Oryzias latipes: one gene and its partners. The main gene of each other region encodes a partner of the protein of the gene in region 6 in a complex. Links are inferred from orthologs where the notes say so. Each region holds a gene or a part of one and is shown on either strand. Other genes may lie near its edges. The genes, in order: mms19, ciao1, gtf2e2, gtf2a1, mnat1, ercc2 and polr2k.

The links.
Region 1: ercc2 (region 6) and mms19 share a complex: the UniProt entries of both Homo sapiens proteins name them as parts of the MMXD complex. The link is inferred for Oryzias latipes from reciprocal best matches to the Homo sapiens genes ERCC2 and MMS19.
Region 2: ercc2 (region 6) and ciao1 share a complex: the UniProt entries of both Homo sapiens proteins name them as parts of the MMXD complex. The link is inferred for Oryzias latipes from reciprocal best matches to the Homo sapiens genes ERCC2 and CIAO1.
Region 3: ercc2 (region 6) and gtf2e2 share a complex: the UniProt entries of both Homo sapiens proteins name them as parts of the TBP-based Pol II pre-initiation complex. The link is inferred for Oryzias latipes from reciprocal best matches to the Homo sapiens genes ERCC2 and GTF2E2.
Region 4: ercc2 (region 6) and gtf2a1 share a complex: the UniProt entries of both Homo sapiens proteins name them as parts of the TBP-based Pol II pre-initiation complex. The link is inferred for Oryzias latipes from reciprocal best matches to the Homo sapiens genes ERCC2 and GTF2A1.
Region 5: the proteins of ercc2 (region 6) and mnat1 are in contact, whole or in part, in a crystal structure (PDB 6TUN), measured with the Homo sapiens proteins. The link is inferred for Oryzias latipes from reciprocal best matches to the Homo sapiens genes ERCC2 and MNAT1. Residues at the interface, in NP_000391.1 of Homo sapiens: Lys274, Tyr285, Ala318, Val319, Pro320, Gly321, Ser322, Arg324, Thr325, Glu327, His328, Arg334, Arg335, Glu338, Gln363, Arg364, Val365, Cys366, Gln368, Lys370; in NP_002422.1 of Homo sapiens: Val68, Glu71, Val72, Arg75, Lys76, Leu79, Arg85, Glu86, Leu92, Tyr95, Asn96, Asp97, Leu99, Glu100, Glu103, Glu104, Phe107.
Region 7: ercc2 (region 6) and polr2k share a complex: the UniProt entries of both Homo sapiens proteins name them as parts of the TBP-based Pol II pre-initiation complex. The link is inferred for Oryzias latipes from reciprocal best matches to the Homo sapiens genes ERCC2 and POLR2K.

What each region holds. Positions count from the first base shown.
Region 1 is NC_019877.2:1,649,447-1,653,734, forward strand, and holds the start of mms19 (MMS19 nucleotide excision repair protein homolog), read right to left. Parts: upstream 2,801-4,288; 5' UTR 2,693-2,800; intron 1,986-2,692; 5' UTR 1,962-1,985; coding exon 1,874-1,961; intron 648-1,873; coding exon 599-647; intron 506-598; coding exon 405-505; intron 335-404; coding exon 249-334; intron 173-248; coding exon 98-172; intron 1-97. Other genes in the region: ubtd1 (ubiquitin domain-containing protein 1), read left to right, coding at 3,221-3,290. UniProt on the Homo sapiens protein: Key component of the cytosolic iron-sulfur protein assembly (CIA) complex, a multiprotein complex that mediates the incorporation of iron-sulfur cluster into apoproteins specifically involved in DNA metabolism and genomic integrity.
Region 2 is NC_019867.2:18,361,328-18,365,532, reverse strand, and holds the start of ciao1 (probable cytosolic iron-sulfur protein assembly protein CIAO1), read right to left. Parts: upstream 2,801-4,205; 5' UTR 2,525-2,800; coding exon 2,386-2,524; intron 2,276-2,385; coding exon 2,127-2,275; intron 2,058-2,126; coding exon 1,946-2,057; intron 1,855-1,945; coding exon 1,766-1,854; intron 1,597-1,765; coding exon 1,401-1,596; intron 1,310-1,400; coding exon 1,240-1,309; intron 238-1,239; coding exon 3-237; 3' UTR 1-2. Other genes in the region: tmem127 (transmembrane protein 127), read left to right, coding at 3,495-3,732, 3,824-3,988, 4,068-4,205. UniProt on the Homo sapiens protein: Key component of the cytosolic iron-sulfur protein assembly (CIA) complex, a multiprotein complex that mediates the incorporation of iron-sulfur cluster into extramitochondrial Fe/S proteins.
Region 3 is NC_019859.2:11,937,016-11,941,213, reverse strand, and holds the start of gtf2e2 (transcription initiation factor IIE subunit beta), read right to left. Parts: upstream 2,801-4,198; 5' UTR 2,579-2,800; intron 1,890-2,578; 5' UTR 1,885-1,889; coding exon 1,725-1,884; intron 931-1,724; exon of another isoform or gene 280-930; coding exon of another isoform or gene 1-279. Other genes in the region: smim18 (small integral membrane protein 18), read left to right, coding at 1-279. UniProt on the Homo sapiens protein: Recruits TFIIH to the initiation complex and stimulates the RNA polymerase II C-terminal domain kinase and DNA-dependent ATPase activities of TFIIH. Both TFIIH and TFIIE are required for promoter clearance by RNA polymerase.
Region 4 is NC_019882.2:4,171,033-4,175,071, forward strand, and holds the start of gtf2a1 (transcription initiation factor IIA subunit 1), read right to left. Parts: upstream 2,801-4,039; 5' UTR 2,592-2,800; coding exon 2,562-2,591; exon of another isoform or gene 2,525-2,561; coding exon of another isoform or gene 2,519-2,524; intron 1,283-2,518; coding exon 1,181-1,282; intron 1,071-1,180; coding exon 902-1,070; intron 811-901; coding exon 746-810; intron 325-745; coding exon 249-324; intron 173-248; coding exon 51-172; intron 1-50. UniProt on the Homo sapiens protein: TFIIA is a component of the transcription machinery of RNA polymerase II and plays an important role in transcriptional activation. TFIIA in a complex with TBP mediates transcriptional activity.
Region 5 is NC_019880.2:12,052,980-12,056,479, forward strand, and holds part of mnat1 (CDK-activating kinase assembly factor MAT1), read right to left. Parts: intron 1,104-3,500; coding exon 951-1,103; intron 565-950; coding exon 491-564; intron 1-490.
Region 6 is NC_019871.2:4,138,871-4,141,662, reverse strand, and holds part of ercc2 (general transcription and DNA repair factor IIH helicase subunit XPD), read right to left. Parts: coding exon 2,764-2,792; intron 2,699-2,763; coding exon 2,530-2,698; intron 1,083-2,529; coding exon 964-1,082; intron 876-963; coding exon 806-875; intron 366-805; coding exon 296-365; intron 14-295; coding exon 1-13. UniProt on the Homo sapiens protein: ATP-dependent 5'-3' DNA helicase. Component of the general transcription and DNA repair factor IIH (TFIIH) core complex, not absolutely essential for minimal transcription in vitro.
Region 7 is NC_019869.2:7,013,761-7,017,962, forward strand, and holds the start of polr2k (DNA-directed RNA polymerases I, II, and III subunit RPABC4), read left to right. Parts: upstream 1-1,402; 5' UTR 1,403-1,516; intron 1,517-2,581; 5' UTR 2,582-2,659; intron 2,660-2,742; exon of another isoform or gene 2,743-3,222; intron 3,223-3,526; exon of another isoform or gene 3,527-3,632; intron 3,633-4,202. UniProt on the Homo sapiens protein: DNA-dependent RNA polymerase catalyzes the transcription of DNA into RNA using the four ribonucleoside triphosphates as substrates.

The DNA of each region.
Region 1 (4,288 bases), on a different chromosome or scaffold from region 6:
AACGTCAAGATAGACCTCGAGACAAACGGCACGGAGCAGACCTTTACCGGAAAACAGGAAGTGGAGGAGATCCTGGTTTCTTCATGGAGAACCTCACCTGGACGTGGACGTCCTGGAACAGCGACCTCAGCATGGACACGGCCGAGCCGGGAGGCAGCGCCGCACACTTGGTCTGAGGAGAAACCAACACAAACTTACAAGGAGGCTCCAGCAGCGCCTCCGTCTGAAACCGGGTCCCCCAAGTTTACCAAGGCGAGCAGCCCCCGTAGGACGGGCGGAGTGGTGACGTGATGGTCTTTGAGGCGGTTCTGGTAGAAAGCCATGAGCACTTCCACTGCGATGGGACAACAGGATGTCAACAACGCTCCTCACTTTGAGCAGACGAAAAGGCTTGGTGTTCTGACCTTCTTTCTGCGACAGCTCTGCACGGCCGTCCTGTAGGACCTCGGAGAGCAGCTGGACGCCGCGGGCGCGAGTCTGCGGCTGCGAGCTGGTCAGGCTGGGCCTGCGGGTGGACGGGAAGTCGATTGAAAACAAGAACGGCGTCACTTTTTTGTGTTTTTGTAAAAAAGTAAAGGAGAAAAAGACAAAGGCTCACCCCAACGCTTCCACTAACTGCAAAACTGTAAACGCTCCATCTTTGACACCTGAGCAAGAATCAATAATATGTCAACAAAAGCTTAAATAATCCATATTATACCACGGTCCGGGTCTCAATTCTGATTGGCTGCTTGATGTGAACCATCAGCGTATTTATCGCTTTCCTTTGCCGCTGCAGTGGAGGTCGAAGTAAGAACGCGCCCGCCGCCTTACGTGCAAATAGGACCACGGTAACGGAAACAATGAGTACATATATAGAATAAAGTTGTACAATTCTGAGAAAAATAAAGACAAAATTTTACAAGGAAAAAAAATGTACAAGAAAAAACTTTAAAAAAAGGGAAAACGACAATTTTCTAACATAAAGCTGTAAATGTTTTACTTCAAAAGTTGCAATATTGCAAGGAAATAGTCATACTTTTTCAAATAAGTAAATAAATAAAAGTCTGAATTTTAAAAGGAAAAAACTAAAAACTGATTTAATATGCATTTCTTTTGGAAAATTTTAGGACTATTTGCGTCAAATTTAGACTTCTCTCAGATTATTTTACAGTTCAATTCTCATAATAAAGTTTGGACTTTTTTCCTCATAATTTCACGACTGAATTCCTGTAAAAATTTGAACTTTTCTCTTATAATGTTACAACTTCATTGTCAAATATTTGCTTTTCTTTCATGGTGGCCTCAGTATTCCGTCATAACAGCCTTTAAATAAATATAGTATCAGGGGAAAAACAAACTTCAGTAAATTTGATTGACATAAGTGATCGTTTTATTTTGAAAGATCCCCCTCTGTTTACTTTGGGTATAATTAAAACTCCTTTAATTTGATACGTCATAAGTTATCAGGTCTGTGCTGAATCGGAACCGAATCGGTTCGGTAGTCTGGACGTGTTTCCCTGCTTTGCCCACACAGACAAACTCGGGATCAAAGGTAAATCGGGGGTTGAGGGTTCAATGACAGGATCCTCCTCGCGCCCAGCCAGCAGCTAGCTAGCAGCAGGCACGAGACCACAGCAGACTGCAGGTACAGTCATGGTTTCAGTAAACAAAGATAGCTGCGAGTTCCTGCCGCCCCGGAAAAAGGGCAGATTCATGACATGTTTAGTGTCAGGAGGAGCTTCTCACGCAGCATCCCGCACAGGATGTTGTGACGCTAAGTTTAGCTAGTTAACCCCCACGCACCTTTATGGGAAACTAACGGCTCCAGCTCAGTTTTCCACACAAACCCGCTGGTAAATGTGAGGACAAACACCGGACACGACTGCTGTACCTTTAGCGGCGTCCTTTGCTTTGCTGTCCTGCAATCCGGAGACGAATTCCTCCACCAGAGACAGCAGCAAGGCACCGTCCGCAGCCATCGCGCTTCCTCCACGCTGCTGACACTGCGCATGTGCAGAAAGTTCAAACGCCAAAGTCCAACTTTTTTTTTCTTGGTTAAGAAAAAATATAAATATATTTTTAAAAAATATTGTTTGTGCTTTTAAATAAAATAAATATAGAGATTTTACACAAAAGAACGACACATTTATGTCCAAGACACCATTACATTCAAAGTATCTCAAAAAACATAAACAAGTATAAATGTAACAATTTATTAAGCTTGATCATTTTTGTTTGGTCATAAAGGTGTTATTGGAGATGTCATACTTTTATAAGTGCATTAATTAAGCAGTGAAATATGTTTCAAGCTGGACTAAAAGCTGAAACCGTTTGATAACATGATCTGGATTAAAATCCCAGAAGATATTAAACTACGTAAAATATTTTTTTGTTCATCGTATGACTGCATTCATTCTATCTAAGTTTTCATGTGACGTTATAATAAACTGGAATTCACACGTTTTTGTTCAGTATTTTTTTAAACTATATGGAAAAATCCTAATTTGTTTGGATAAGTTTGAAAAATACCTACAAAAAAGTGAAATATTCATAAGAATCTGTACTTTATTGATAGTATTTTTACTTTGTGCCCTTTTAAAATGTACTTATTGTCATTGTGTATTGTTTTTTCTCTCCTAATATCAAAGACGGTTTGAACCATTATTGTGACGTCACTGCTATCATTTATTTACGTTTCCTTCAGACCCACCTGCCTGGTTGTCTGCGCATGTGCAGAAAAGTTCGCCTGCCTTAGCTCGTTTCTGAACACTTTCTCAACCAGCAGCAACAGAAAGTGAGGAGTTTTTCCAAGTCTTTTGAAGAAAAGTAGTCCGGGAGCGCGTGAAGGGCGTGATACGGTTCTGCATTCAGCTCCGAGTGAAGCTCTACCTCCAGACCCTTTTATAGGGAAGATAAAACTCGGGGAAATGACATCGAGCACGCGGAAGTTTGTGTTTTCTGGCGGAGCTAGCTGGTTAGCCCAGTTAGCCTGTTAGCAAGAAAGCTTTTCTGTTTACAGTTGCAACTAAACCGAACTTTACCGGTTATTCAGACAACAGAAAAAAAGTTGTTAACGGTTCCCACCGGATTTCACCGCCTTGTTGTCACCGGATGACATATCCGGCTAGCAGCGCTGCACCTGCGGGTTCTGATCTTCGCCGGACTCGGTTCTTCGTCGCCATGGGCCCCGTTGGAAGCCAGTGAAGCCCCGCGGGGAGCGACCACAGCCCCTCCGGCCATGGGAGGATGCGTGGGGAGGTACTGGCGAGGCTGGGACGAGTCACAGAGCCGAGGTTCGTCCGGGAACGGTGGGTTCGGAGTTTGCTGTTTATATGACACTTTAGAGTAGCAAATGCAGCAGAGTCATAGAAAAAGACAAGAAAACGAGCTAAATGTAGGTTAATTAAACCTGGGGGGGGGGGGGGGGGGGGGGTATTATTTATGTTCTTATTTGACATTTATCTTCAACTATTTGACACCTGACACTGTTGTTTGACCCTAACTACTATGCAAACGAGCTTTAGCTGATTTGGTTGGACTTGAACCCGGAAAGGACACACATTTGAATGCGTGCAGGTGAGCTGGTACCTGAGGAACCTGTGACTGAATGGATCACGTGATCACGTGATGCAGCAGCGCCTCTGAACGCTGGTTTTAGGGTGCAAACAGGAACGTGGCCTCCTCTGCGTTTGACCTTGACCTGCATAAGAAGTGGTGGAATAGCTGCTCTCCTTTGTTTGCACAAGTATTGTCTGTAATCCGCCCAAAAGTTTGGGAATCTTCTGCAGTGCATACATACACACTCAACGCACATTTATTTGTAGAATGCGTGTATAGAAAGTTCAAAACCTATTGTTTATTCCATGTTTGTGCATCTCTTAACCTGGCGAAAGGTCCGGCTGAAGTTGAAGCACACGAGAGTGTAGAGGACGGTCGACCTGTGAGGCCAAATGCAAAAAAACAAAAGGGAGTCAAACAGCTTGCTTTGAAGGAAATGTTCTCCATTTGAACCTTTGATCGGAGCTCCTGCGGCGTGGCAGGAGTTCTTTAAAATAAAACGTTCGTCGTTCATGCAGGTGGATGCTTAAGAATGGGGCGGAGCAGGAAGCTTGTTTCTTCATCACAAATACGATGTTTTCCAAACCACGTTTTTTTCCGTCTGCTCCCGATTTGCATTGATTTGAATAAAGAAGACACTCAGAAACGGAATTTTGAGCTTCATTTTCTTTCCATTTGTCCTCCCATCATCAAAAGATGCTACAAGAACACGTTTAAAACTCCATTTTCATGGCAGTGCTTCTTTAAG
Region 2 (4,205 bases), on a different chromosome or scaffold from region 6:
GTTCAGTCTTCTTCTTGAAACCTCCAAATTGCAATGTCTCCATCATCACTGCAGGAGGCCAGGAGGCCGGCCTCCTTTGGGTTCCAGGCGACGCAGTTCACATCCTGACAGTGAGCCTTCTTCACCTGAGCAGCCAGCGAGAACACCGGCTCATCTGCATGGGCCGCGAGATCCTCCCTAAACACTCGTATGGCGTCGTCGCCACAGGCAGTTGCTAGGGCACCGGTCAGTCGACACCTACGCAACAGACAGTTGTTTGAGCCATAATAGTAAAGGGGACAAAGATTCAGCCGACTGATGACAAGCGCTGTTTTAGTGGTGGTACAGCCAAAAAAGCAAAGAAGAAAATCTGTTTTGGCAACTTTTTAAAAACTCTGTAAATAGAATCTATTTTTAAAGTAAAAAAAAAAAAATCAGACACCAGACTGTAGTGCAGGGGTGTCCAACTCATTTTGGTTCGGGGGCCACATTTAACCCGTCTGATCTCAAGTGGGCCGGACCAGTAACATAAAAGCAAAATAACAGCTTTGTTTTAGTTTTTTATTCAGTTGGAAAAAATGTCTCAATCAACATAGTAGCCTAATCACTTGGGGCCAATGGAGCTCAAATAAAATTAATTTCAATTAAAGAAAAGTTGGTCTATTCAAATTAATGCAGTCTGAATATTTTACATCTGACACTGAAGCAATCCAGAAACTTTTCTTTATGATAAGTCTCTTAGTGGTGCTGAATGTCATATTCTTTGAGCACTGCGATGTTGATGACATACAAAGCATTTGGGTTTTACATTCAGCTTCGTGAAAAAAAGAAAAAACTCTGTCCAATTTTCCTGGAAGGCTCTTCCCTCCACTTCACGTTTGACAGCATTTTGGTCATTAGGGTGTCGCTAATGATCATCCTTATAGCAAGATAACAGCGGTAAGGCTCATAGGGAACCAAGGTGCATCCTACCCAGACGCAGAGCTGTTATGTTTCGCTTTTGGCACATGCAGATATTTGCTGTTTCAACTGTTTTTCTTTTCCTTTACTCCCCCTAGTGGCGGAATTGCACATTTCTGTTATTTCTTTAAAAAATCATAATTCGCCACAGGAATGGACTAGAAACTTGCTTTCTTTTTTAATCATCCTTTTGATTTTTACTCTTCATGTGTGGGCCGGAGTAAACCACCTGGCGGGCCGGATAAGGCCCGCGGGCCGTGTGTTTGACACCCCTGCTGTAGTGTAAGTATTTAGTCTTACCAGGCAATGTCGTACACTGTTCGTCCATGATAACCCGACAGAGTGCAAACGCACTTCCATGACAAATCACCTAATAAAGCAGACCAAACAAAACATTCTGTGATTAAAAAATATCCTATTTTTTTTTATTTATGTCATAAACTACCCCTCTATCTTCTCACCACTCTCACTTGGATACTCCTTCCAAATCTTCACAGTGCGGTCATCGCTGCAAGACGCCAGCCTCTGTCCCGTCACGTCGAAACACAAACTCCAGACGGTGGACGTGTGTCCCTGCAGAGTGGCCCTGCACTCCCAGTCATCATCCTCCTCCTTGTAAATACAGATGTTGTTGTCGTAGCTGGCAGAAGCCAAGAGCTGCGGAAATAGAATAAAATACAACTTTATTGATCCCACAAACGTCGTTACCATGGCTCTATTAAAAACAGCACGTAGATCATAAATATGGCTAAAGATGCACTTTAACAATTAATAGCAACAATAATAAAACAACTACATGATGGTGAAGGACTGAGTGCAGACCTACCTCTTGCGTGGGATGCCACACAACATGCTTTACATCTTGTGTGTGCGAGTTCACCACTGTAACACACTCGTACTCATCTTCTTCGTCCACTGTGAAGAAGGAAAACAAAGGTTTACAACCCAGCTCTATATGTTTTCTGTGACAAAGGATTGTCCTGCAAGAGCTGGTGAGGACACAAACCTTCCCAAACCCAGACACTCTTGTCTCGGCTACAAGTGGCCAGCAAAGTCCCTGAAGGGGCCCACGCCACGCATTTGACCTCGTTTTCATGACCTTCCAACACAGTTAAGCTCTAGAAGACAAGAAAAGAGTCCAGGTGGAGCCAGAACACGTGTTAGATCAGAGGTTAAACGAACCTTACCTCAAAGTCGTCGTTCTTCTTTTTCCAGATGCATGTCGTCGCATCGAAGCTGGCGGAGGCCAGATAGTTCCCACAGGGAGACCAGGCTACTTTCCTCACAGTGCGCTGGTGTCCGTCCTGCAGAACGTTTTTACAAACCCAAGAGTCACCTTGAAAAGGGAAAACATGAACTGTAAAAAAGGTAAGGTCATCCAACCACTGATTTTAAATCGGCGTAGCAAAATTCGAATAGAAGGCTCTTTGTCTGTCTGAGTCTGACCTTCCTGTCCCCATATCCGGATGGCCTTATCGCCACCACACGAAGCCAGCAGCGCACCGCTCGGGCTCCAACTGACGAACCAGCACCGAGAATCTGGGTGTGCGCTGAGTTTCTGCACCAGAGAAATAGCCTCCTTCATGGCAGAGCTCCAGCAAACGTGACTCCTCTGTCTGTCAGGCGTCGACTCGACACTTTTCTCGATTTCCGTTAACCAAAGATTTAGGCTAAAAAGAGTCACAAATGAGGAAAACGACAGACAAGAGGACTGCGAGTAAATTAATACACCTTTATGAACATTAAAACAAAAGGAGGGGGAAATTAACCAAGGAAAATTGTTCACACAGATAAGTTCAAAGAAGCGTCAAATTAGGAAATGCCGCCATGTTTGCTTATCGGGATCTGGACCCGGTGCATTATGGGTTGATCTAAAATAAAACGTTTTGATGGTAATATTTCATTTATATATTTTTAAAGAAAGTGATCTACCTATATATGTATTTTTATAATATGAATCTATATTTACATTACTGTTTGCAAAGAAAATTTCATGCTAAACATTGTGTACATTTCTATTTTAGTTTCCGCTGGGGGCGGTAGTGTACAGCAAACATTCTAAACGTCACGAAGAAGAATGGCATATACAGGAAGTTAGGGATTTTGAGGAAAACAGCGTAAGCTATCTTTTGTTTTGTTTTGTGTTCCTTTTTGTATCATAGAGACGGACGGTTTTATCAGCGGGATTTGATGTTTACAGGTTATATTTTTTCCCATTCGTTCGCTAAAAAGTGTCTTTCCTCCGAGAACTGGTGACGTAAAGTGTTTATTTTTTTTAGTTAGCTTCAGAGGCTAACAACAGAGCTAAAGGCCCGCTTAGGATCTGTTCTTTGTGTTGGCTTTTCCTTAATATTTTTTGACTACTTTAGGGAAGCGGTTATTGTTGTTTTTATATTGTTGAGCACTTTTATCGCCACCGAAATCTTTGACATATCCTGGAAGACAATTGCCGTAGTTTTACTCTAATACCACAATAACCCGGTACTACTGTCAAGAGGAAGACAGTGCTAAGAGGAACCTACCACTTCAACAGAAAATTCGCCATTCGGTCAGCTATGTATGCCCCACCGGGTCCCGCTGTCTCCGGAGGTCGGAGGAGGAGAGCCGGTACCTCACTTCCCAAACAGCCGGAGCGGAGTCTAGTGTCGGCCCTGCCCGGAGCTTTGTCCATCACAGCGCTGTGCACGGCTCTGGCTGAACCTGCTTGGCTCCGGATTCACGGAGGCACCTGCCCGAGACAAGAACTCGGGGTGGCAGATGTCTTGGGATACGTTGATCCCAATCTTTTGGGTGGTAAGAACCAGCACAAAGTCGTTGCCACTCTAAGCTGAGGATCATGGAGTGCCTTAATTTATATGAATTTGTGGCACGTCTGTCTTTTCAGATTACTGTGTGAATCCGCAGACCATCCTGCTGCTAAGGGTAATAGCTGCCTTCTGTTTCCTTGGCATCCTGTGCAGTCTAACTGCGTTCCTCCTGGATGTGTTTGGACCCAAACACCCTGCCCTAAAGATAACTCGCAGATATGCTTTTGCACATATACTAACAGGTATCTACAGTGCTTGTTTTCATTTCTAATAAAGATCAAACACATTGCTACAATGTAACTGGTTTCTTTGTCTTTCCAGTGTTGCAGTGTGCCACAGTCATAGGCTTTTGCTACTGGGCATCGGAACTGATCTTGTCACTGCAGCAGCAACACAAAAAGTACCATGGCTCTCTCATTTACGTCACCTTTGCCATCAGCTTCTACCTGGTGGCAGGTG
Region 3 (4,198 bases), on a different chromosome or scaffold from region 6:
CTCCCCGAGGCCATCCCCATGTCCCACGTTTCCCTGCAGGTACAGGAAGTCTACCCCTTCCACGACGGTTGGAACGTCGCCTGCTTCGTCATCCTCCTGCTCTTCATCCTCACCGTTCTGTCCCTGGCCGCTCTGGCCGTTCTCTACGAGTTACTGGACTGCGGCTGCTGCGCCAAAGGGAAAACGCGCCACCAGTTGCAGCAAGAAAGGTCGGGAAGCTGCAGCAATCTCATGACGAGAACATGCAAGGAGCTGGAGAGCCACACGGAGGTGGTATAGCAGCAGCACAGACAAAGGAAAATGGAAGAGTTTGGGGTTGGGATGCCCAATTTATTGCCAAAACAAGCACCCCTGATACCATAGACTGTCTATTTGCATGCATCCAATTCAGAGGCAAAGAAAAAAATGAATCAATGTTCCAGAGTATTCTGTACACAGAAACGTTTGCCGAGTTAGGGCTTTAAAGACTCATGTCATCTTTGTTTAGTTTTGTGTTTTTTTGCCGTTCTTCTATGGTAAACACACAGTCGTGAATTTGTAGACACAATAAAGGTTTTCGTTTGGCTTCCCACAAACCCGATAAAAGTTGATGGAAATCTTTTCTTTTGGGTTAAAAACATTGTGGTATGATAAAAAAGAATTGTTATAAATAAACATGATTCATTTAAATGGATGTTAAGGCGAGCCGAAAGTTGTAATTGTTTGTAGTGGATGTATAGAAATCAGCTGCCACTCTCATGTTACCAGGTGGAAAATCTGACATTTCTGAAACTTTTTTAACAGATGAAGACGTTTATTTTCCAAAAGCAACTAAATGAAGTGATAAAATCTAGCGTTGGACGGCTGTTGGTCAATGTGGTATGTTGGCATTTTCATGAAGACAAACATAAAAAGACTAAAGAAAATCAATAAAAATGAGATCTAACAAAAAGTTTGGTTAAAGAGTTTGAATTTTCTTTCTCTATATTTCATGATTCTTATGAATCAGTCCTTTCATCCAAAGAATTCTTTTAGGCTTTATTTATATTTACTATAAAAATGTTAGAAGTCATTTTTTGATCTGTGCACACCTTTAAAAAAAAGCAATGACAGCAGAATTTTGACCACTTTGCTTTTCGTAATTATTCAAATATTTGACTCAGAATAACCTATGAGTGACAGATGAATGAGTTTTGATTGCCTAGGTGTTACATCATCCATCCATTAAAAAACAACAACATTTAAACCAAACAAAAGAAAGAAAACATAATCCTTAAAAATAATCTGCCAGTTTCACTCAAAGACCCCCTCCGATCATATTTTGATCTATTGTGAAAGCGTTTCCATTGGTCTTTTACTTAGGAGAAGGTCATTTTTAGCTAAAAATTAAAAAAATCTGGGTCGTTTTTCTAGGACATAGTTTCTGCAGGGTGGCAGTAGTTCATTGGAATTTCACCTGAGTTGCGAGTGGGACCAGCGGCGCTGTAAGGAGCAACCCTACCCCCCCTTCCAGTCATCCATTACTGAGCTCTCTGCATATCCTCTCTCATAAGCTTACAGCCTCTCACACACCCAACCCAACATTGGTGAGCAAACTTAAGGTTTACGCCAGATGGCAGCCCAGGCGAGGAAAACAAAGACGTACATGGATCCATTTGTCTGCAAGTGGGTTTATCAGAATGGAGCGGAGCAGCTTGTGGCACGTCCAGGAGAAGCTCAGTAACCAGATATAAAGCATGACCTACCAGTGCTGTGTTTGGAGCCAGAGGAGCCTTCCTTGTCTAACTTGGGCTTCTTCTTCTTGTGGGATCCAGAGTCTGATGCAGCTGGTCTCTTCTCAACAGCCGGCGTGGAGAGAGCTCTTTTCTTAAACAGCTCCCTCTCGCGAAGCAGAGCTGGATCCATCCAGGCTGGTGGACAAAAGCATGTAAACACAGAAAAGGCTGGATAAAATGCAGTTTTACTAAGCTTCAAACGTTTAAATTAAATATAATTTATGAAATAAATATAATACTGAAACAGTGAGGTGCATCATCTCCATGCATATCTATTATACCTGGTATGTTTACCTGGTTCTTTTCTCAATCTAATCAGTGATGCAGCTGTTTTACTATTTTTTCTTCAAATATTAAGTAGAGCATAAGGATTATTATTAGTAACTAGATTTGATGTTAAAACATTGTCTTGACACGACAGGATTCTGTTCTTCAAAACTACGGTGTTCCATTTGTGCCAAAAATAATTGTGTTCGGTTCTTCTACTGACAATATGGGCCAAAGACATGGAATTACTACATTAACAGTGACCAAAGAAATACACTTAATACAGAAACAGTGGACTAAAAACTCAACTCAAAACATATTTAAACATATATATAACAGAAGTTCGCTGTTTGTCCGATTAGCTTCTTCTTCAGTTTATCGGGAAAAAAAAAACTTCATATAAGCAGCTAAAAGTCATCGAGATGAACCTTTAGAGTCCAGTTTCCCCAAAGAACCGAATCCCGTGACAGCATGACCCACATAACCGCTAATTAATGTTCCCGCATTGTCTAACACCTAATGTGATGCTAATCCTAGTGTTAGCATGTCAACGTTACCTGCTACTGTTGAGTTCTTCTTTCCAGAAAGTGGCGAATAAGTCCCGATAGACTAATTTATAAACTAAAAAGTGAAATAGAAAGACAATTTTAAGCTTAAGTAAACTCAAGCTTACTTTCTAATAAAAAAGTATTATTTTTGTATCCATCATGTAACTGTTTCGTTTAGTGTTCGAGTTGTCGGTTATCGTTATCGTATGTTATTCCTTGGGTGACGTCTTCCGCGTGCAAGCAAAAACCCGCAGCTGTGTAGCTCAACATCGCCACCTACTGGACTGGAGGACAGTCAACTTATTTCAGGCAAGAGAGCTATTTTGGTTAGGGATTCTGAAACTATAGCTAAAATAATGAGTGTTCTGTTTCACAGTTTTTAATTCTTGCCGGAACGTTTAAAAACAATTAAATAGTTTCAGCAAATGTTTCTCCCCCAACATTTTCAGTTTTTAAACTGAAAATTATTGGATATTATTATAACCAACAGTTTGTAATAAGACATTAAAAGTATTATTTCCAACACCTGACTGTAATATGTTCTGTTTTGCATTGTGGTGTGATTGCCATTTCGATTATAAACATAATCTTTACAAGTTTTCTTTGCCAAATTTTGTGCTTTGACCAATAAAGTTTAATCTCATTTCTTGTTAAAAGATGAAACACTTAAGTGAAATGTTAATAAAGTTCCAGGATTTATTTTTGAATAATATTTTTAATTTAAAGCCTTTTTTTTTCTTTTTACTGTAGAGGAGCCTACAGCACGTAGTTACAAAATACATTACGATAGCATACCTTTTGCAGTTCTAAAGGGGTGTAAAGCATTACTATGACATTAAAGTCATTACATACTTAGTAATGAGACGAGAACACATGAACAAAAAAACTCTGCTAAAAATATCTTTATAAACTCATGGTTCATCACTTTTAGCTTAGAAACAATAATTTAACTTTTGATTTCTTGAACAAATGTGTTTATCTTTTTTTTTTTTTTTTTCTTGAAGAAAAAAATGTATCTGATCAGTTATTTTTGACAAAGTGTGGTGATTGGAATCATTATTTAATAGACAGCTCCACTTTTCCTGAGGTAAACAGACCCCTACGGTTCTCCTGTCACTCTGTTATCCATTTAGGTAGATGACTCATAGTTTTATTTTAACAACAAAAAGCTGTGATTCTGCTTCCTGTACTTTCACTTAATGATTATTAAAGCTTATCGCCATTTGTCTTAGAGTGAAATGCTTGACAGTACCTTGTCACTTCCTCTACTTCTGTAGGTCTTACAAAGAACGCTATAAGTAATAATTGATTACGAGTCATAACTTTATAAGTAATAAAGTTATGTAACGCAGTGTAACTCTGACACAGTGACAGTTTGGAGGTAACAAACCCCAAACTGTAAACAGAAATAATACTAAAAATAATTTTACTTTCCCTTTATTATTACTTTATAAGTAATAAAGTCATGTAATGCAGTGTAACTCTGACACAGTGACAGTTTGGAGGTAACAAACCCCAAACTGTAAACAGAAATAATACTAAAAATAATTTTACTTTCCCTTTTTTTTCTCTGACTAGTAATCAATTTTATTAGCGAATAATGAGGGCATATACAAGGAATTTGGCTTC
Region 4 (4,039 bases), on a different chromosome or scaffold from region 6:
TCCCAGACTGGTTTCATGCTCAAAAGGATGACCTCACACATGGACTGTACCTGCTGTATAATGGGGGCCTGCACGCCGCCAGGCTGCATCTGATTCTGCAGGACGATCTGCTGCTGAGGCTGGATGATGTACTGAGTCCCGTTGGGAGCCCGGACCACCTGCAGGAGCTGACCTGCATCAACAGGAAAACAAAAAAACGTTTTGAGATCCAACCACGCTAAAGTCCAAAGGAACGGTGAGAGCTTTACCTTGGCTTGTGATGAGCTGTTGGTAGGGGGTGACCCCTGTGGGCAAAGCAAGGGTTGCTGCAGTGGCTGCTGCGGTCTGCAGGAGGAAACACAGAAAGCCGCTCCAATTATACCAGAGCACAAAAAGGTGGATTTTCTAGGTGATAAAAAAAGAAAAAATCTTCTTTTTTCTTTTCATTTAAGCCTTAAAGGTTTCAAACATGGTCCATCACTTAAGGAAAAGCTATAGCGGCGGCTAGGTTTCAAGCTCAAAAAGACAGATGGCCTCCCCACAAGAAAGCTTTTCCCTTTCTCGGTTTTGTTCTCCAGGTCCTTGTTGAGAAAAAAAGTCCTCTCCCAAAACCCACAGCCCGGCTAGTTTTCCTAACCGTCGCTTCCTTGATACTATCCCAGATATTCCCCGGGTGGATTTGTGCGATGACAAAACGGGACGTTTGGGAGAATTTTTGGTTCTCAAGTGTGGCGGTGCAGTTTTCAGCTTGTAAGATGCTACTCACCATTCCCGTTGAATTCATGTGCTGTATCATTTTAGAGTCCTGAACTATGACCTGCTGCTGGGGAGCTGTTGAGAATAAAACACATTATTTCAGGTTGAAAAAAAAAAAAAACAACACACGTCCAGGCGACGTTTGTATGTCAACGTGCGGACTCGCCTTGTTGCTGCGAGGGAATCTGGATAACCTGCTGGGCCGGCGCGGCCTGGGCCACCTGCTGGGCCTGTTGGGAGTGCGGGTGCTGCTGCTGAGCGGTCTGCAGGGCCGCCTGCTCCTCGGTGTGGAAGCCCTCCACCGCCTTTGACTGCAGCAGCTTGTTCTCCCACAGCTGAAAGACAAGACTCCAGATGAATCTGACCAAACACGGAGCTGCATGTGTGTGTGTGTGTGTGAGGGGGGGGGGTTATAACCTTCTCTCAGTAAAATGAGACGGATTACCGTTTTCAGCTCCAGAAGAACTTGCTCGTCCACCCCTTCATCCAGGAACAGCTCCCGCACCTCATTGATCACATCCTCAATAACAGACTTGTATAATTTAGGCTATGATGACAAAACAGAGCAAATACACAATTTATTGGTGGTGGTTTCAACATATATAAATGTTTACAATAAATGTAGGAAAACACTCATAAAAGAGGTGTTAAGTTTAAACGGTCACATCTTGTGTATATGGATAGATTATCCAAACCCATATATAATAATCTGCACTGATCCATTTGTCAGCAGGACTAAACGCGTCCCTCGAGACAGAGCTGCACGCGCGGGGAACTGTCACGGACAACATTCTGGCTTCTACGCAGAACGAGAAGCGGGACACCGAATGTCCGTCTCTCTGCTCTCCTCCCCGTCAGCTCCGGCACTATTTAAAGCGCAGTCTGCTGTTTATGTGAAGAACCGGTGACGTAGCGTCGTGTAGCACCGTCCCATCCCGGGCAGTCTATATTAGACGGCCAATATGGCGGTATAAAACCAGGCAGCAGAAAGGAGGAGGGCCAGAACCGAGAGAGGAGACGAGGAAGCCATTTTACAGAGCGGCAAGCGCGCGCGCGCCTCTTTTCCCTCCTCGACTAGCAAGATATGGCGGACTGAAGATGACGGTTTCGGTGGTTTATCTCATGAAAGGATCCGTTTTGACTAAACATTTTTGACTGGAGCGGGACATTTGTTGCGTTGAGGGTGATTTGGGACGGCTCTCCTGCCCTCTGGTCGTGGAATGGAGGACAATGAAGAAGAAGCAGTTGACAGAGCGTTCAAGACGCCAAGCTTTTAATAAAATTTTTTTAGCTAAATTCAGTCGCAGTGGATGGTGCATATGTGCTTTGCGTACATCAGTTTCCCTCCCCTCCAACAGTTATGCGACAATAAGTATGACATTTTCCCCCGTGTAAACAAAAATGAGCACCCCTAACTTAACTAGTTAGCTAACGCATTCAATGCGGATTTCAACTCAATTTAGCTTTAAAAAAATGTCCAGAAGGTTTTCGGAAGCACTTACGTTAACAACTAATACCGTATAAACAGGCAACTTTTAACTTTAAAATTTATTTTTGATCACATTTAATTTAAATATTTAAAGAGATTCGGGTCCTACAAAAGTAATCAGTTCTATAAGCTCTTTTTTCATTGAGTTTCGAAAACTGGTATAAAAAAAATGACCGTGAGTATTCCTTTGAATGGACATAACGGTGTTGGTAAAACTCATTTTTACTGTAATGAATAAAAAAAATAAATTAAAAAAAAAAACAGATCGTTGACACGTTTTTCCATCAACTTTACCCCCATTTTCCCCCGTTGACAGTCCTGAGAGATTGATCCTTACCACTGGGTTCGAGTTTGCCGAGCTCGCCATTATACGCGTAGTGTAAAAACCACACGGAAATAGGCGAGAAACAGTGCCAAAAATTAAGAAAAAAGACTTAAAACAACTGGGAAAGGTACTTTAAAACAGCCGGCATTACTTTTGTAAATAAAACACAGTTTTAACGGTCTTATTTACAATCCCGGGCTGCGACTCCCCAGCCGTCCTCCTTTCGTCGTTGTCCTGCTTTATATACTGAGCGATGGAGCTGCGAGTGCGCGAGACATAGGGCAGGGTCAAAAGGCACATAGCGCGAGATTTGCCACAAAAAACGATGACTAATCACTGACGTCGTGCTGGGAAATGTAGTTTAAATTGTAAATTTCACAATGCGATTGGATACTTAGCTTTTTAGATTTGTTGGACAAATTATCCAATTGTTAACCATGATTACAATTACATTGTTTTTGTTTGTGAGTTTGTATTGTGTTGAGAATGTTTACAAATAGAGGGTTACAAGTTTTAATTGATTTAACTTTTTCAGCTAAATCGAGATTTTTCCTGTATAGTAAATTCTGTGTTGTATTCATTACTTTTATTTTATAACGAAAAGGTTCAAATCTGAATCCAAAAGCCCGATTTATTTCTATGTTCCTTGTAGTATCGTTCTACAGCCACAAGAGGGCGATAAGACAACATCACATGAAAATAACCTGTGTTTCACTGGAGCTTTGAGACGGGCATATTTTTCACATGCAGCGTGCTATATGTGATCTTTAATTAAGAAGATCTGTGCACATTTGAAGAAGTATTTAAGATCATATTCACTTGATCCAAAAATACACAACCAAAGGGAAAATCCTTAAAAAAAAGCTTTGCAATAATTTCGTGTAGACATTGTTAACTCCACTTCAGTCTCCATGGAAACTTGCTTCCCTGGCCACTCTGTGGATATAGATGATATAGACTAGGGAAGACTGTTTGCATCAATCCACAAACAATTCAGTGTTTTCTGAAAACTGTGTTTACTGAAATTATCTAAAGAAGATGTAAAAAAAAGAGAGAGAGGGTGATCTGACCCTGCAGATCACCCTCTCATGCTTCTATAATTACAGGGGAAGCAAAGTTCAACGTGATCAAAAAGCAAGCGAGTGATCCATGCTATGAATGTTTGGGATGTGATCATATATGCAGGCTAGGGCATTGCTGTCTTTGAGCTTCACTCCGGTGTAACATTAGAGAAGCATGATGCCCTCTAAAGATCTGGAGAATGCACACTTTACCCCCCCCCCCCCCCCCACTCCCTACTCCCCCTTCTTTGCTGTAGTTGCATAGCAACAGAGGAGCTGCAAGCTCCAGTTGTGTTGTGATGGGAGCGTGCTGCACAGGGAGCCACTGGCTCAAGATTAAGCCGGTCTCTACTTCAATTATGAATGGGCTTCCACCGCCACACGGCTCCAAAATGGCACCACTCAGACTGATAAGACATTGAGGAACTC
Region 5 (3,500 bases), on a different chromosome or scaffold from region 6:
CAGGTTACTTTAAAAAAAAGTCTTAAAGGATTCAACAGAAGTTTGACTTCATTTGGAGGGTTATTCTTTCATCTGTACTTGGTGACTGTGGTGGTGTCTGGACAAATAAACGGATTTGAAAATGTGTCCTCCTGGGCTTTGGGAGGCTGTGATGTCTTAATGGGTTAAAGCTTTCACAAATGTCTTCTTAAAAATAATAGTCGATGGTTAAAAAGAAAAAAGCTTTTGAGTGGTGCGAGCAGAAGCACAGGTGTTCAATGGGATGAACAAATTAGCATTAGGAGTGACAGGCCAACCTGCGCTCTGCCCTCCCTATAATGACAATCTACAAAGTCCTCAGAGAACTGCCAGTCAAGACGTGTCAACACTGGCAGAGGTGCTCCCTAATCCGTGCCCCTGGCTGGCACTAATCCCTTTAAAAACACCCCAGAGTGAAGGAGAAATAATAACACTTGTTTTAGGAAGAGCCTTTCAAGCTGGAACCCCTTACCTATGTCCTCCACTTGCTCCAGATAATCGTTGTATTCTCTGAGGCTTTGGAAGTCACACTCCCTCTTGTTGTAGCTGCAGAGGAAGAGTAGGAACAGCGATGTAAACAGTAAAACCTAACGAGAGCCGACATTTATAGCCTCCATTAAATCAGCCAATTTTAATACCATTTCTGCATACCACCTGAATGACACACATTAGAACATAAATTAAGGGGTATTATATAAAAAAAAAGAGCGAATAAGAGGGGAAGAGCAGGGCCAGGGAGGGGCTGCGAAGTAAAATTTGGCAGAGAAAGAGCCAACCCATTTGAAACCCCCCAGGGAGACTCATTGTCTACAAAACAAACAGTGTAATGACAAAGACAAAGGCAGTTTAAGAAATGGGAGGAGGGATGGTATAGCACATAAACACACAGAACCACACCCCTTCACCTCACAATCTCAATCCCCCCCACTCACATTTTCATGACCTTCTTTCGAATTTCCACCTCCTTGTCAACTGTCGGATCCTCGAAGAGCTGCACCCGAAAGTTGTTCTTCCTCAGCGGCGTGTTGCATTGTACACAGTTGCCGGCGCCGCGCACAAACAGCATCTCCACACAGTTCTCACATCTGTGCCAGACAAGAAAAAAATAATAAAAACGTGTTCATATCCAGCAAAGCAAGACGTTCCAGAGATGACCCACCACAGACGACGGCGTTACGCGTGCGTGTGCCCGTGTAAGGAAATGCTGGGTGTTTTTATGTTTTGATAAGCATCATTAGGCTGAATGGGTGATTATGGGGCATTAGGATGTTTCCTCGGAGTGCTTAAAGATGACTGGGATTATGACTGGAATGTCACTTAGGATGACTCAGACTCTAAAACAAAAGGAAAAAAGTCTCCCAGCCAATGGGTAGCGCGCTTGTCTGCACTGGAAAGATGTTTTTTTCACAAACTTTAGCCTTTCTACCAAATTGCATCAAATATATAGACTATACTTGTGTTAAATCAGGATTCTTTTTTTTTTCCTGGTACATTTTCGCATTTTCAGCAACATCCACATTAAAAATTACACTATATCTTATTTATAAATGCTTTACAAAATGTTTAATGCTTTTCCAACTTAAACAATCATCCATTTTAATCAATATAATTGAGAACAAAACAATCTATTTACATATGAGGTCAGAAAAACATGTTGGTGTTATACAGTTCTGTTTCTATAAGCAAGAATGGCAACAATAAAGTTTTCTTTAACGTATTAACTCAGATAAAAAGAATAAAGTCCAACTATACGCATTTTAACTTCAAGAATGTTGCATTCATGCTCTTTTTTCCCCCTCCAGTTTGGTATCACTGCTTATTTTCCAAATCCACTTACAGAATTATGATTCAGTTTATGATACCATTCAATATCAGGATCGTTTTCACATTCTAAAAAACTCAAATCTAACATGCAAGGATACGAGACATCCCAGATAACTGTTTCAAAATAAACAAAGGTGGGACTTCTGTTACTAAAACTGAACATTTATTCACTATTAGTTTGTAAATAAAGACTGATTTAAATTGAATATTTGGAATATTATTTCCATTTAACACTGATGTCAAGCTAATAAAAGGAAAACATTTAGTTAAAACATTAAAATTAGATCATTGTGAAATGTTCTCTTGACTGAAGTTATACTGACAGTTTATTTAAAAGATATAAGAAAAGAAAAGTTTCACAATTAATATAAAAGTTCACTTTTTTGTTACTTTTTGAATAAAACATTCACTGGTTAAATGTATTGTTTCCAAATAGATAACGTCATAGATGCTGTGCCACAAAATAACCCCATGTGTACATTTCCCATAAGCCTTAGTGGTTATATCCTAAATATGTGGACATTACAACCGCAGCACTCTGTGAGCTGAAAGCTTCTCAGCATTCTAAACTTCCCTCACTTTTTTCAATTTATAACAGATTTAAAAGCTGAATTTAGAATCTAGAAACTCAAGCAGAAAAATAGTTAAACAGTCAAACTACCTGTAAAGATAAAACTTAGTTCCCAGTCTTATAACAAGCTCTCTAATGGCCTTCACAATGTGTTTTTTTTTACTCTGTGCAAACATTGTCTAATATTTTAGATTTTGTCTACATTTCCAAGATAAAAACAGCCACTTTATTTGGTACTTGTGATTTGGATCAATTCCAAACAATAAACACACCAAAACTGTTGAAACAGAGACGAGGATTTTTCAGCTCAAAGTTTCCTTCACTTTACTACGATGGCAAACTCTCTGACAATCAGTCAGTTAGCCTACCTGAGGCAACACGCCTGAGGCTATTCATCAATCCTACCTTCATGCAGGCAGGCGTTTACCCATTAAACATACTTAAAGGAAGAGCAGACAGCAAAGATAATTGGGACTGTCCCTTAATTCTCCCCTGAACAGGTCAGAGCTTGGATAAACGTATGCACTGTATGCTCTGCATGAGCTTTTTTGCCAAAGAAATCCACCTTGCTGGACCTTGTGGTTTCCTGATCTGCCTCTGAAGATTGATGCTGCAACAAAGCGAGTTTAAGGACTACAAGGGAAAATGTGTCGCTGGCCGCATGGCTTTCTAACTCAGATGTTCCCAGGGGAATGTGTCTTTCAGAGGACTATGATCATCATGCAAAACTTTTCACTTCATCAGCACAACTCAAAGCTAAATCAGCTAAGGAAGAAAGTGCAGAGACTGGGAATTTGTCTGTTTACACCTCGCGTTTCTCATAAGGGTCAAACAAGCCCAACCTGCTGAGTGTGACGCCAAACCTTTCGCAGCTGTACAACAAAAACGAAGCCCCACAGCTATCACGTCCGATTTAGCTCGGCTTTGATGAAACATTAAAAATGAAAGCTAAACTACTGAGAGGGACATGTGTTCTGTCCAGTTGGTGCCAGTTGGAGCCCCCACTCAAGTACACTTTGGAGGAGGCAGATGTTCACTGGAGCCTCGGGCAACAGGAGATCTATGGGACTTGCCATATGGAGGTAGA
Region 6 (2,792 bases):
GAGGGGAGAGGGTCTGAGGGGAGGAGGAAAACTCCATGAAAACCCCAAACATGGGGGGAAAAAAACGACAATTATAGTGAAATTAAGAATTTATGATGAAAAATAAATAAATAAACAGTAAAATCAGGAACATAAACAAGCAGAAAGTCTCAGGTTGATTAAATTAGTATATCTCAAACATTTGACTTTTTTCTGATCTAATCAACTGAACAGAAAATATGAAAATGGAAAGATCATGAAGTTTATTGAAATATTCCATTTAGTCGTTTCCTGATGTGCAGACGGACGGACGTACCCCGGACGTGATGACCACGGACTGAAACCTCTGGAAAACGGGTTTGATGGCGATAGACGGGTCCATGCAGCTGTGAGGGCAGAGAACCGGATCAGAACCGGAGCAGCGGCTTTGAGCACTTCACACTTCCTGTCATGAGTTTGCAATGTTGAACTGGGACCAACATTTATTCAGATTTCTGAGGTTTTCATCATGTTTGTCCCAAAAATGATGAAAACCTCATGATTCCATGTAAAAGCTTCTTTATCCTTGATGCTGAAACTGGTTTGTGGATCTTTTAATCAAAAATTTGAAATTTGACTTTTTTTCTTTGGGTTTTTGTGCTGAAAACTTATTTTTACCTGCAACTTGTTGAAGGTTAAAAAGGCTCAGAGTTGACACTTTCTGCTGGAGTTTCTCATCTATTATACATCTTTTATAAATTATATTCTATATAGCATCTATATTCTATAAAAACGTAAACAGCCGGGAGTCCAGAGGGAAACGTGCAGAAAAACGAAGCATTTCTACCTGAAGTGGAGGACGGGGTTGGCGATGGTGGGAGTTCTGTCGTCGAACGGCTCGATGATGATGGTGAAACCTTCAGGGAGAGGAAGACAGAGCACAGTCTGCGGTGAAAAGCCCATCCGGACCTCCGGCTTCCTGCGGGGATCTGAGGCGAGCAGAACCTAAGCTGTAGGTGCTGACGAGAGTCGCAAAGTTGGAGATGAGGGTGACGGCGGAGAAGTCTGCGATGTCTGCGATCTCCAGAGTTCGCAGCAGCGACTGAAGCCTTTCTGCGCAAAACCTGAGCAGGCGAAGGAAAGAAATAAATAAAGGTGAGTGGTGAAGGAGGAGAAACGGAGCTCCCTAGAGGTTTTCACAGAACGGTCTGATGTCCGTTTGTGGAAAATAAACACGAAAGAATAACTTCAAGATTCTGAGGGCGAGAAAAACATCATCACAGGATGAGACGAGTCGGTTCTTCTGCTGCTTTGGATTTCTGTATAGACAGGATTAAAAAGTCTGTCACACAGCAACTACATACATTTTGTGCATATTGCACAGATGAAAATTGGTCATATGTGTGGAAAAAGTGAGAGAAGTTTGAGTCTTTAGGTGACATTTGCACAGATGTATCAGGAATGAACCACGCTAATCAACGTAGAGCATGAACCGTGTGATTATTGAGCTGTTTAGATGCAATTCGTTAGTGAATTGTGGGTCAATTACGCTATTTTAATGAGATTTGTGCGCCGTATACCTGATATATATATATATATATACTGAAAAGTCCGTTAGACATACGTGGAACGGTCGCGGAAAGCAACAAATCTGTGAATCTCGCAAAAATCACGCACAGTTGTGTAAGATTTATGTAATAATTTAAGATACGTAGAAACTGTGTAATTCTCATCCAGCTCAAAACCAAACTCTGGTAAAAATCCATCGGCTGAAATCCTTGACTGACGTCTGCGCGCGTCGACAAATGAGGAACACGAGAAACTCCCATCACGTATGAACCACGAAAACGTCCACAGCGGCTGTGAGACACGGCCGATATTAGATGGACAGGACAGACAGATTGAGCTCCAGAACGTTTCCACAAATCGATTCTCACAAACAGCAGCAGCAGAAACGCATGCAGGTTTTTTTTAAACCTTTTCACAGCTGAGCGTTAGCTCCAATCTTTACATTTCTTTGACTACCTTAACTCTTCAACCGTTTACGCAATGATCGTAATTCCAGCGGATTCTGGTGCGGTGAACAGAAGTCTTGTGCTGACATGCAACACTTTATACAAAAAGGTCGGCTCTTTGTGGGCGCCGCCTATGTGATGATGTCATCCGAGACGCCTCGGCAGAACTTTTGCAAAGATGGACGTGCATATGTTCATAAAAAAGGAAAGCGTTTAGACGATCACCGCTAGCTCCACGGAGAAAGTGGGCGTGTGTGTTAGCCTGGGGGCGGGGCTGGCACTGCAGACTCTTCCTGGAAGGGGCTGGTCCTCACTTTGTGATGTCACAATGCGAAGACCCGCCCGTTTTCGTTGGTTGGGAGGAGCTGCAGGTTTTTAGAGGAATGCTCAGAAATGCGTAAACGGACCAACATACTGTTTATTGTGAGGAATGAACATTAAAATACACCTAAAAGTTGGTTTTGAATGATACCGACGCTCTAAATGGTGAAACAGAAAATCCGTGTTTCCTGAGAAAACTGCGGCCCCTCCCCCGTGTGACCTGAAGCCGACTGACCTGAGAGGTTTGCGGTCGATGCAGACCTTCTCGAAGATGTCTTTAAGGAACTGGGGAGCGCTCTCCTGAACCACATGATGGACCCGCAGGCGGGACTTCAGGTACTCCAGGAATCGCCGCAGGAAGCCCAGGAAGTGCTCGGCGGTGCGAATGGAGCCGGGGACGGCCTCTGGCGGGGAGAAGCGTTAGTCTGAGTTCTGAAACCAGAACCCCACGGCCAGACCGAGCTCCAACCTTGCAGGATTTCATCAGGTAAAACCGGA
Region 7 (4,202 bases), on a different chromosome or scaffold from region 6:
CTGCAGCTGCAGCTTTGTTTTGTCGATGATTAAGTCTGAAAAAAAGCACAAAACAATTTGTTTACTCAGTACTTTCACATCTCTTTGTGCCAAATGATTCAATGCATCATCTCTCACCACCAAATCAGCCCAATTTCAAAGTATTTAGAGATGCAAATACTTTGCTAAATCTTTTAGATTTCTCCTGCATTTCTATGATTTGAACCTTTTCAGTCTGAGTGTACAAAGTGAGACATGAACTCATGAGCTTCTGCACGGGTCCAGAATCCACCACTCCACCTCTCCCATCCCTTCCCAAGACTGACGACCTGCCTCACCTTGGACCTTCTTCTCCCATGAAAGCTGGTGGGAGTCTTCCTCTTTCTTCATCCAAAGTCAGTCAGTGGGTCGTTCTGTGTTTTTCCAGGTTTCTGCTGGTGAACAATGACAGAGGTTAGATCTGCCGCAGAAACACCAGCAGGTTCATCATCACAGCATCATCGGAGAAATCTCCTCTCAGCTTCTTCACTCCTGGTACTTTGCTGGATCTCATTTCCATTTAAATCTCTGCACACATTTTAGTTTTCTGTGGAAACAATATTCCTATTATTAAAAATGTTCTGATTCAAAAGAAGTTTATTCTTGATATTTTCTTTTCAATTCTACTTTTATTGCAAATAAACGTTCCCTGTAAAAACAAAATCATCTCCGCCTGCAAACTTTGTATTAAATATGTTCTTTCCTTTTCCTTTTTCACTAAAACACACGTAACAACGTGAGTTCACTTCTTCACAAATACATTAATCTCTTTTAGACACTTGAAATAATGCAAACTATTTATTTGTCTTAAAATAATGGAAAACCGGCAGTTATTTGAAGGAATTGGAACGAATCCGGCTCTCTGATTGGACACAGCAAAGTTTGATACTAGAAATTGGAACAATTCTGGCCATTTGATTGATTGAGAAGTTGGAACACTCTGATCAGGCCCGTCGGAGGAAGACTTCCTCTCGCCGTGCAGAAGCTCCCGAGTTCGCGGCCCGCTGTGCGCGGTTGCAGCATAAAGATCCTCTGCTGCTGATTCTTCTAAAGAAACAAACAACTGGAAGGGATTCACTTCTTCTCTCAACAGAAAGAACCTGTAAATGGATGAAAACCATGAACGCGTGAGGTCATCGATTGATCGATTCACAGACATTCATTAAAGGTGGAAATCAATGTTTTTACTGTGTTTGTCTTTAAAAACCTCATTTCTTAGTTTATTGTTTTATTTATTTAAGTAATGATTTTATAGTGTGTGTGTGTGTGTGGGGGGGGTCCATTTATAGATAAACAAAATCCTACTTGTGCTTTCTTTATTGTTTTTTAAATTCCTAAACTTTTTCAAGAGAGATTTTCTTTTTCGGACGTTCCCTGAATGTCTCGGACTAGTCACCTACTGGACTCCAGCGTGAAAGGTTCGGATCAGAACCGCTCTGGGTTCGGCTTTTGTGCTTCCGTGTCCTACTTCTCCCGAACAACCTGAGTCCAAACGACGGTGAGGAGCAGAATTCTGCTTTCTGAGCTTCACACATGCGACAATCATGAGAAGACGAGCAGCTCATGCGTGGCGGTTAAGATCAAAGAAATTGTTCAAAGCTTTTAGGGAAACGAAAGACGACGGCCGCCGTGTTTGCTCAATTAGTTCACTTTCTGGAGTGATTTAAGTCGATATTACGAGATTATAACTACTGCTTTCGTGAGATAACGGAATAGATGTGTTGCTCGTCTTGTCGAAAACACAGTTTAATGATGTGTTATTAGTAGAAAACAAAAACAAATTTAATTGTTGCTAACGTTCAAAGCTCTAATCTAAATAAATGGCGGATTTGAAAGTAGTTTCTGGCCCGCTAATTTCACCAAATTTCCATTCCGTTCCAGTAAATAACGTTAAACTTCTTATTTATTGCTGACTGTGGGTGTTTGTCGTCAATTTCTCTGCATTTGGACGGCCAGAAAGCGCGTAGAAAAGGTCCAGTTATTTGATCATTTGATCACTGTTTTTTTAGGACTACGGCAGTTGTCCTAAAGCGAGGTGATAAGGACACGTCTACAACTTGGGTGACTCCAACACGCTGGTTCACTCTAAGAAAAGCAGTAATAAAGTAATAGTATGGATTTATGTGGAGTTTGTTTGAACAATAGTGAGTACTTGTAATGTTTTAGAGGTTATTTATGTTGACTTACTGAGAAACTGCTATTGTTTGTCTGGGGTGTTTTGGTGTACTTTATTGACGGTCCCCGTCTGCCTCTGTAGCTTCACATCGAAGTAAACTCAGGCTGTGACTCGTTTTCTGCTTCACCACAGACACAAATAAAAAGTTTACACTAGTCAATAGAACTATATCCAACGTCATGTTTGTGGATAAAGTTAGTATGAAAAAAACAAAGCAGACCGGTGACCGGATGTGTCTGTGACACGAACACATTCTCAACTTCTAATTGCAGCTCATCTTATATGTTTGATGAGCAAATGAAGTTATTTGCCTTTATAGTTCTTGAAATACTGGAACAAAATTCCACAGAATAAATATAATGAAGATCCACCGTTTCTTTATTTTAGTTGAATGCAACGCTTCCATGTAATGAATCTCCAGGTGGAGCGGTGAAACAGCGGCACCATGTGGCAGATCTACAGCAGGTATTTTCTGCATTAAACATGACTGTATCTTTGTGTTTAGAAACAGGATTTTTGAAGTAGAATTTTACCTCACAGATGCTCACAATGTATTTAAAGAATTTCAGAGGCAGCATATTGGAGAAAAAGCAGGAAATGGTCAGAATTTAGTTCAACCAGGAGCCGACAGGCTCTCAACAGGGAAGCAAGCCACTCAGGATCGTCTCCGCACCAATGAAAGTGTATAATCCTGGTCTTTGATGGGTTCTTCTTATTGAATTTAGGTCCATGTGAGTTCTGTTCGTCCTGTTGCTGGAAGCAGAAGCACAGACTCTCGTCTCTGAGCTGATCTTTCTGCAGCGAGTCGTCGCTTTGGCTTCCTGCTTGAAGGCAGCAGCAGAATGACGTCAGTCTGACGCGATCAGACCAGTTTTCTCTTTCTCCACACAGATCCTTGTCTGAAAGAGTCTCCACCCCTGTGTGTGTAACCATCAGCACATGGGGGTTGGTTGGAGCTGCGGTGGGGGTTGGTAAAGGTCCTCCTGGAGGGGTGTTGACTCGACCTTTTGTTCTGGCGCTTCCGGGAAACCAGTCGCACTCGTCTGACGTGACAAAACCCCCCTTCTTTTCCCAGAATCCTTCCAAGAAGTCTCTCACAAAGTCAGAAAAAATGTAATTTTAATCTGATTTAAGCATTTAAGTCAAACTTTGAATGGAGATGGTGAACCTGAGACGATCCTGTGTCATGGGAGAAACAGAGGATCTTTTTTGGTGTTTTGTCTTAATTGTGGTTCCCTTTAAAGTCCACTGTGTTCCCTCAGATCACACCTCATGCTTGAGAAGAGTAGCAGAGGGGAGGGTTTAAAAAGCACTCCGAGACATTGGCTCATTGCACTAGTTCTCTAGTGCATATACTAAAATTGGAACGATACAGAGAAGATTAGCATGGCCCCTGCGCAAGGATGACACGCAAATTCGTGAAGCGTTCCTCATTTTCTCTTTTAAAAAACAATTTCACCTAACTTTGTGTCATTGTTTTAATAAAAATAGCCCTTAATATGAACCATCCAGCTAATATATGACAATTTTTAATAGAGTTCATAGCAAAAGTTTCAGGAAAACTCACAGCAGACAAAATTATAGATGTAAATTAAAGCCGTACGTGGCATTGTAGGCGCTACCCGCTTCTACACACCACCTCCGCTATCGCTGCCCACCTCTATGCAGCTCAGCCGCCCTCACCACCCAAAAAATGCATATACTAACCATCCTAACTATGGTAGTTATGCTAAAATGGCTAAAAGTGCTAGCTTAGCGATCAGCATCATCAGCGTACTCAGAAAAAACACATTGCTTAAGACTCTAAATATGCTAACACTGCTAGATATGCTATTTTGGCTAGAATTGCTAGCATTGCGATCAGCATCATCAACTCACTCAGAAAAACACATTGCTTAAGATGCTAATTATGCTAACAATGAAAGTTATGCTAGTATGGCTAAAAGTGTTAGCTTAGCGATCAGCATCATCAACTTACTCAGAAAAACACATTGCTCCATTAGTAAGA